2 linked regions of the Caenorhabditis elegans genome follow. The protein of the gene in region 1 interacts with the protein of each later gene in a pairwise test. Each region holds a gene or a part of one and is shown in the gene's direction. Other genes may lie near its edges. The genes, in order: T09B4.8 and rps-15A.

What was found.
Region 2: the proteins of T09B4.8 (region 1) and rps-15A interact in a two-hybrid assay, tested with the Caenorhabditis elegans proteins (one large-scale study listed by BioGRID).

The regions. Positions count from the first base shown.
Region 1 is NC_003279.8:6,164,019-6,168,328, reverse strand, and holds T09B4.8 (Alanine--glyoxylate aminotransferase 2, mitochondrial), read left to right. Parts: upstream 1-1,789; 5' UTR 1,790-1,797; coding exon 1,798-1,970; intron 1,971-2,014; coding exon 2,015-2,138; intron 2,139-2,256; coding exon 2,257-2,681; intron 2,682-2,728; coding exon 2,729-2,838; intron 2,839-2,895; coding exon 2,896-3,176; intron 3,177-3,226; coding exon 3,227-3,313; intron 3,314-3,357; coding exon 3,358-3,492; 3' UTR 3,493-3,610; downstream 3,611-4,310. Other genes in the region: T09B4.4 (EF-hand domain-containing protein), read right to left, coding at 1-27, 77-211, 279-312.
Region 2 is NC_003281.10:1,948,683-1,951,952, forward strand, and holds rps-15A (Ribosomal Protein, Small subunit), read left to right. Parts: upstream 1-1,977; 5' UTR 1,978-1,993; coding exon 1,994-2,089; intron 2,090-2,138; exon of another isoform or gene 2,139-2,305; coding exon of another isoform or gene 2,306-2,314; intron 2,315-2,390; coding exon 2,391-2,687; 3' UTR 2,688-2,742; downstream 2,743-3,270. Other genes in the region: polh-1 (DNA polymerase eta), read right to left, coding at 288-463, 547-751, 1,042-1,201, 1,250-1,396, 1,448-1,575; F53A3.7 (DNL-type domain-containing protein), read left to right, coding at 2,845-2,988, 3,042-3,158, 3,231-3,270.

The DNA.
Region 1 (4,310 bases):
AAAATGTTGCAAATTCGATTGGTTTTTCTGAAATAAATAGCAATCATTCAGAAGTGTAATGTTCTAAAACTCATACTATTAAGCTTCTTGAAATAAATATCAGTTTTGGAAGCAGTTGGAGAATATCCAAGACTTCGGAGAGCACATCGAAGTTGAGAATCTGTTCTTAGTACTCCACTGGTTGAATAAAAGTTGAAGCATTCACGAATTTCTGATGAGAAACAATAAAGTAAAGATTTCGGAGTCAAATCTTGGAATTATAGTGTTGTTTCACTTACCATCAATCTGCTTCTGCGAGAAAAATTCAGTCATTTCTTCTTTGTTTTAAAATGTTAATATATAAAATAGCCAAACCCGAGCAGCAAAATGTGAATTGAAATTCTGTGAAAAGAACTGTGTGAGAAAACGAGAGAGCGTAGGTAAATAAAAAGCGAATCGCGGAACGGTGTTTGACGGGTCAAAACAAAGGCGGAAAACAAGAAAAAACGAGAGATTTGGCAGGAATACAAGCTTTTTTCTCAACGAAAAATTATCCTCAACTTGGACCAAAACAAAAATCAATAAATGAGAAAATTGATGTTGTATGCAACACTGGTATTGATAACAATACGCAAATTTGGGTTATCTGCATCTTTTACATAGAGAAGAAGAAATAGCAAAGAAATTGTGAAGAAGAAGAGAAAAAGAAAGTCGCACGAGAACGGTTGCGATTGAAAAGAGAAAGTTTTGATGCGAGAAGGAAAGAAGACTTAGATTTTCGGCAACTCGGCAATTTTACAGAATATAATACACTGCGGGTACTGCTTATAAATAAAAAGTCACACGGAAAATAAACTTTATGGATTCAACAGTTAAGTTGGTTTTATAAATAATACTCGGAATACTCCAAACTTTTAATAAATACCGCAAAATCAAAACTTGAGGGGAAGAAAAATACAATTCAAGATTGTGCAATTTTTTCTCTTATTAATTCCATTTATCATGGGTTTTGTGCATTTTTTCTTTTTTTTTTTCTTCTATTCTTTTTCTTCTATTCAATTTTCTGGAATTTCATGTGCTCTCTTCCTCCTCCCGGCCTGCCTAAGCCTAAGCCTACGCCTATGCCCAAGCCTGAACTAAGCCCCACGAGAAAGTATTGAAAGTATTTCTTCGGATCCACCACATAAAGTCAAATCAAGAATATTATTAAAAGGGTCAATAATCAGAATTGAATGTCCTATTCATTTTTATCAATTGATACGTGCAACAGTTATCAATTATCATCTCTTGATATCTTTCAGTTGTTCTATGAAAATTCTTTCTTTCATTTTTTCTTTTTGCAGGCAGTTTTTCACAAAGAACCGTTCTAATAATGACATTTTTCTTTCTTTAATTTTTTAACTTGTTGTTCTTTTGCACTTCTGTCCTCAAACACGTTGCTCTTTTTCTCTTCTCCACACATTTATTGGTCACTCTCTCTAATTTTCCCAACGACAACTGTCTCAGAGCCAAATGAAAAAGTATTTGAATGGAAGATACGCAGACAGTCATAGACAGTTGTCTTTTTGGTGCATTTTTGTGTGTGTGTGTTGTGTAATATATCCAACTTGACCTTGAAACATTTGACACACCCTCCAGTTATTTTGTGTGCAATTGTGTTTCTTAAATGCCTATAAGTTCTAATGATTTCCTGTATTTAACTTGTATTCCACACGAAAGTAGATTTTTCCGTGAACTTTTCAAAATTTTCCACAAGTCATTATTTTTTGGATCCCTTTAATCGATTCATCAAATATTGAAAAAATTTCAGCTTAAACCATGCAACGAGTGCAGGCACTTCGTCCATTACTTCCAAAGGGACATGTGACCTATTACAAGGATCAACTCTTGATTACGAAAGGTGAAAAACAATTCCTTTTTGATTCGAATGGAAAGAAATATCTCGATTTCTTTGGTGGAATTGTCACAGTCTCAGTTGGACATTGTCATCCGTGAGTATTCTTTTTGTAAGCTTATGAGAATTTTATGCTTTCAGAAAAATCAACGCAGCTCTTACCGAGCAAGCACAGAAGCTTTGGCATACCACGTCCATTTATCACACTGAACCAATTTATGAGTATGCTGAGAAGTTGCTCTCAAAGTTCCCAAGCAAATTGAATGTTAGTTTTTATTTTTTACCCTTTTATCAAACCCTACAGTTTGCAGACTTGAAACTGTTAGGCCTTCCTATAGTGAATTACTAAATATCTAGTCGTTTCTTCACATCCAAATTTTCAGTCAGTCTTCTTTGTGAACTCTGGATCGGAAGCAAATGACCTGGCTTTAGCTCTTGCTCGTAACTACACAGGACGATTTGATGTTATCTCGATGAGAAATGGATATCATGGAATGACCCAAACTGTTCTTGGAGCAACTAATTTGGGAAACTGGAAACCAGTTTTTCCACATGGATTCAACATTTTTAAGTCATTGAATGCTGATCCATATCGTGGAATCTTTGGAGGAAGCAATTGTCGTGACTCTCCAATTCAAGTAAAGAACAGAAAATGCGATTGCAAGCCTGGATCCTGTCAAGCTTCTGATAAGTACATTGAACAGTTCGATGATATGCTTCTTCACGATTTCTCTCATTCATCCGGACCAGCTGCCTTCTTGATTGAATCTATTCAAGGAGTTGGAGGAACTGTTCAGTATCCACATGGGTAAAATCTCAAAAGAAAAGTGAAAAATGTGTATTTGATTTTTCCAGATATCTCAAAAAGTCTTACGAATCTGTACAAAAACGGGGAGGACTCGCTATTGCTGACGAAGTACAAACCGGTTTCGGACGCCTCGGCTCTCATTTTTGGGGATTCGAATGTGAGTTTTTAAAATAAATAATACTAAAACTAAGAAATCAATATTTTGAATTTTCAGCACAAGATGCCTTGCCAGACATGGTAACTATGGCAAAAGGAATCGGAAACGGATTCCCATTGGGAGCTGTTGTCACTAGTAAAGAAATTGCCGACTCTTTCAACAAATCTCTATACTTCAATACATATGGTGGAAATCCATTAGCTTCCGTTGTTGGAAAAGCTGTATTGGAAGTGATTGAAGAGGAGAAGCTTCAGGAAAACAGCGCTGTTGTTGGAGATTACTTCTTGAAACAACTTGCAGCAATTGATGATGCGACAATTGGAGATGTTAGAGGAAAAGTGAGAAAACTCTCTAAAAAGATTTTAATATACAATTTGATGATTTTTAGGGGTTAATGATCGGAGTGGAACTTATCGATGAGCAAGGGAAACCACTTGCCGCAGCCAAAACAGCAGCTATCTTCGAAGACACTAAGGTGTAATGCCATTTTACTTGTCTAACTATCAGATTAATTTACAGAACCAAGGCCTACTGATCGGAAAAGGAGGTATCCATGGAAACGTTCTCCGTATCAAACCACCAATGTGTATTACTAAAAAGGATGTCGATTTTGCTGTAGACATCATTGCCAAATCAATTAAACAATACAAATAATTTCATAGGCGCCGTCATTTCTTCATTTCGATATTACCAAATTCTTGTTTTTTGTTGTTGTTTCAAACTATAATTCAAATATTCAAAATTCTTTCGGGTTCTATGAAATTATTGTTCCAAAACGCTTCAATTTGTATTGTTCAGACCACTCCCTTTTTTAAGACGTACAGCTACAAATTCAGATCTGAACACGAAAATCCGTCAGTCAACTTGGTATTCTTCTTTTTTCGCATTTCTCTTTTGCTTCTTCCAAAACGCATCCAGTTACATGTATCGTTTATGTGTTATTGGTATACTATGGCATTATGTACGCGCTTCACTTCTCCGTCACAAGGTGCTGGTGGACGGACGATGTTTAAAAAAATGAAGCGACATGCATGTACTGCGGCTGCTGCTTCTGCTGTGGATTGAGATTAAGAAAAGCTTAAAACCGGTTCCGATCCGCATGTCCTTGGCGCGCGGCAAATGCGACATAGGTGTTATCTCATCGGATGGTTAGGCGACGCCAACCGCACAACTGATGATGTAATCGAAATGCGGAAAAAGGTGAAAGTGATAGCATGGCAAAAGTTTGCCGCCAGCAGGGGTCGAACCTGCGACCTTGGGCTTATTAGACCCACGCTCTAACCGACTGAGCTATGGCGGCATAAAATGCACTCTTCAAGCGTACGAATAAAACAGCAATAAGCACGTAGGTTGAATGCATTAATCTATAAGGTGTGTATATGGTTTGAATTGCTGTTTGAATGCGTATACGTTCGATTGAAAGTTCGACATGTTTCTCAGTTATTAATATAAAACAGTATTGAATCCTACAA
Region 2 (3,270 bases), on another chromosome or scaffold:
TTTTTGATTTTCTCAATTTTCCTGCATTTTTTCACGACCATGTTGACTTTTTACCGTCAAAAATCGAATTTTTCACACATTTTCAGCTGAGAAAATCTCAAAATTTCTTTTTTTTTTGCCAGAAAAAATTGATTTTTTTTTGAGTATTTCCAAATTTCTAGGTTCAATGAAAAATATTTAAAAATTGTATAAAAACGCCTAAAATTGCAGATTTCAGACATTTCAGATAATTTTTCGATGAAAATTCTGAAAATAACTTGGAATTTTGAATATTTTCGCTTCCGTACAGTGATATTAAGCATTTCTTGAATGCGATTTCCCATTTTTCCGCCAAATCCTCGAACATCTCCGATTGGCGTAAGCCGGAGAATTTCTCGAACATAGAACCACGGAATTAACGTTTGTTGGCGTGGTTTATGCCGGGCGCACACCAATTTCGCCATCATTTTGTTGTTTCCGACGCCTGAAAATGGAAAATTGCGATTTTTGGGCGAATTTTTCCCCCCAAAAAATGAATTTTTCTGGATTTTCCGGCAAAATCCATACCCGCCGAGCAAAAAAACTGGGTTTCCTCGTGAATTTGTTGCCGAATTTGCTCTACAGTGACCGCGGCAATCAGTAAAAGCAGGTTTTCCGTGCAATTTCTCGCATTTTCAATATATTCCAGCAGCACATCTTCTCGTAGGTGCTCATTTTCTTTCACATCTTCTCCGGTAGCGAGGTGTGTGGTTGGGAGGTAGGTAATAGCAGCCTGAAATGCGAAAATTAGGCAATTTTTAGCGAAAAAATCATGGATTTTGCTTGAAAATTCATTAACAAACGGCAAAAAACCTGTGGACCTAGTGCCGCCCGGCGCGAGCGGTCGCGTCGCGGTTGGCACGTTTTTTAGAGGTAATTTGAAATTCTTGAATTTTATTAATTGAATTTAGCGGAAAATCAGGTTTTTCGCGTTTTTTTTCTTGAAAAAACTGCTAATTCTGCAAAAAGATGCTGAAATAGGGGGGATTTTTCTCATTTTTCAACTTTTCAAGCTAGATTTACCTGCAAAAACTCCTCCAATCCCTCGTTTTCTCTCAATTCTTGCAATTTTTGATTAGTATACGCGGATAAATCAAGAAAAGCCTCATCGACAGACGCTTTTTCGATTATAATTTGCGAGTCGTAATTGTTCAGCACCCGGAAGACTTCTGCGCTAGCGTCGCTGAAAAAATAGCAATTTTTGGGACTTTTTCAATATAAGAATTCCAACCGATATTTCTGAATATCAGCTTTATCTACATATTCTCCAATCGGAACGTGACATATTGATATTTGAGGGCATTTTAACTTCGCTTCGGCCACCGTCATCCCTCGTTTCACTCCGAACGGGCGGGCTTCATAGCTTACAGCCAAAATTCTGGAAATTTCGGGCTTTTTTTGGAGAATTTCAGATTAAAATTCAGCTTACCCACCCTCGATACCCTGCCTGGAGTGCTGCACGACGATCACCGGCTGTCCCCAAAGCGATGGATTGTCCCGTTGTTCGACTTGTGCGTAGAAACAGTCCATATCGATGAGGCTGATCACTCTTTTCATGTTTTATGTGTCTGAAAATATTCAAAAACTATGAAAAGTTGAAAAAAAAAAGAAAAAAAGCCGGAAATTGCGAAAAAACGAATTTTTAAAACAAAAAAAAACCAAAATCAATGTTTGAAACCCCGCCTAAAGTGCACTGCAATCGCGCTCCACTAAGACGATTTGGCTGCTTGGCTGAGTATTCAACGTTAATGCATAGGCGGTGGAAAGGCGTAGGCCAACGAAGTTTTTCACATACTTTTCTCGAATTTCCGTGATTTTTAGGTGATTTTCTCCATTTTTTGTGGTTTTAAGCATTTTCCAGTAGTTTTGATGCGAAATACCTACAAATATTCATCGAAATGTGTCTGTTTTGCTTCGCGTTCTCATAATTTTTGTAAAAATGAATTCCCGAATTTTCAGGTAAAAACAAGCAGACATGGTTCGCATGAACGTCCTCGCCGATGCGCTCAACGCCATCAACAACGCCGAGAAGCGCGGAAAGCGTCAGGTTCTCATCCGTCCAGCCTCCAAGGTAAATTCGCGTCGTTCTTCGAGAATTCTCAATGCATTTTTGTTAATAGATGATGATGCTGGCAGCCTCGGTCGCAAAAAATGACCAAGGCTCTCCGTGAATTTAGAATTTAGTGAAAGAAACTCGGTTTTATTTCCAAACATAACTTTCGGTTCTAATTAAACGGAGACACCCTTGGTTAGATTCTCTCAATCTGGAGATCTTCCTGGGATATGAATGTTGAAGGTAACCAGCTTAACATCTACTTTCCGTATTTCTAGTTTTCCACCTGTCCCTTCCCATCGCAACAATAATTTTCCAGGTCATCGTCCGCTTCTTGACCGTCATGATGAAGCACGGATACATCGGAGAGTTCGAGATCGTCGACGACCACCGCGCCGGAAAGATCGTCGTCAACCTCACCGGACGTCTCAACAAGGCCTCCGTCATCTCCCCACGTCTCAACATCCGTCTAAACGATTTGGAGAAGTACACCAACACCCTCCTCCCATCCCGTCAGTTCGGATATCTCATCCTTACCACCTCCGCCGGAATCATGGATCACGAGGAGGCCAGAAGAAAGCATTTGGGAGGAAAGATTCTCGGATTCTTCTTCTAAATCCAAACCCTAATTTTTTGTTTGTTATTATTACAAATAAATTGTTGTTACAACTACAACCGAGTCGTGTGTTCAGTTCGGCATCCAACTTTTCAGGGTTTCTAAATATCTTTTAAAACCTTTGGGTTTCGTTTTCGGGGACCACGAATTTTTCAGAATGCTCCGCTCAGCAGTTTCAGCTCTCTATAGAGCATCGAGAAGCTTCTCCGAGACAGTTCCCAGACTTTCAGCCACTCCACTGGGGAAGCAAGAGCCCCAGTTGTCCCTGTCATACACCTGCAAAGTGTGCAACTCCCGGGAGGTTTGAGCCAAGAAAGCTAGAAAACTGGATTTGAAATTCCTAATAATTTCAAGGGCCCAAAAACATTTGCCAAGTCATCATACGAGAAGGGAGTTGTCATTGTCACGTGCTCCGGCTGTCACAACCATCACATCATCGCTGACAATATCGGATGGTTCGAGGACTTTAAAGTGAGCATTTTTGCTCTTGAAAACGGAGCATCGTTGACGCGTGTTGTTTAGCGTAAATCCAATTTTTTCCAGGGAAAAAACATCGAGGATCATCTGAAAACGCGAGGAGAAG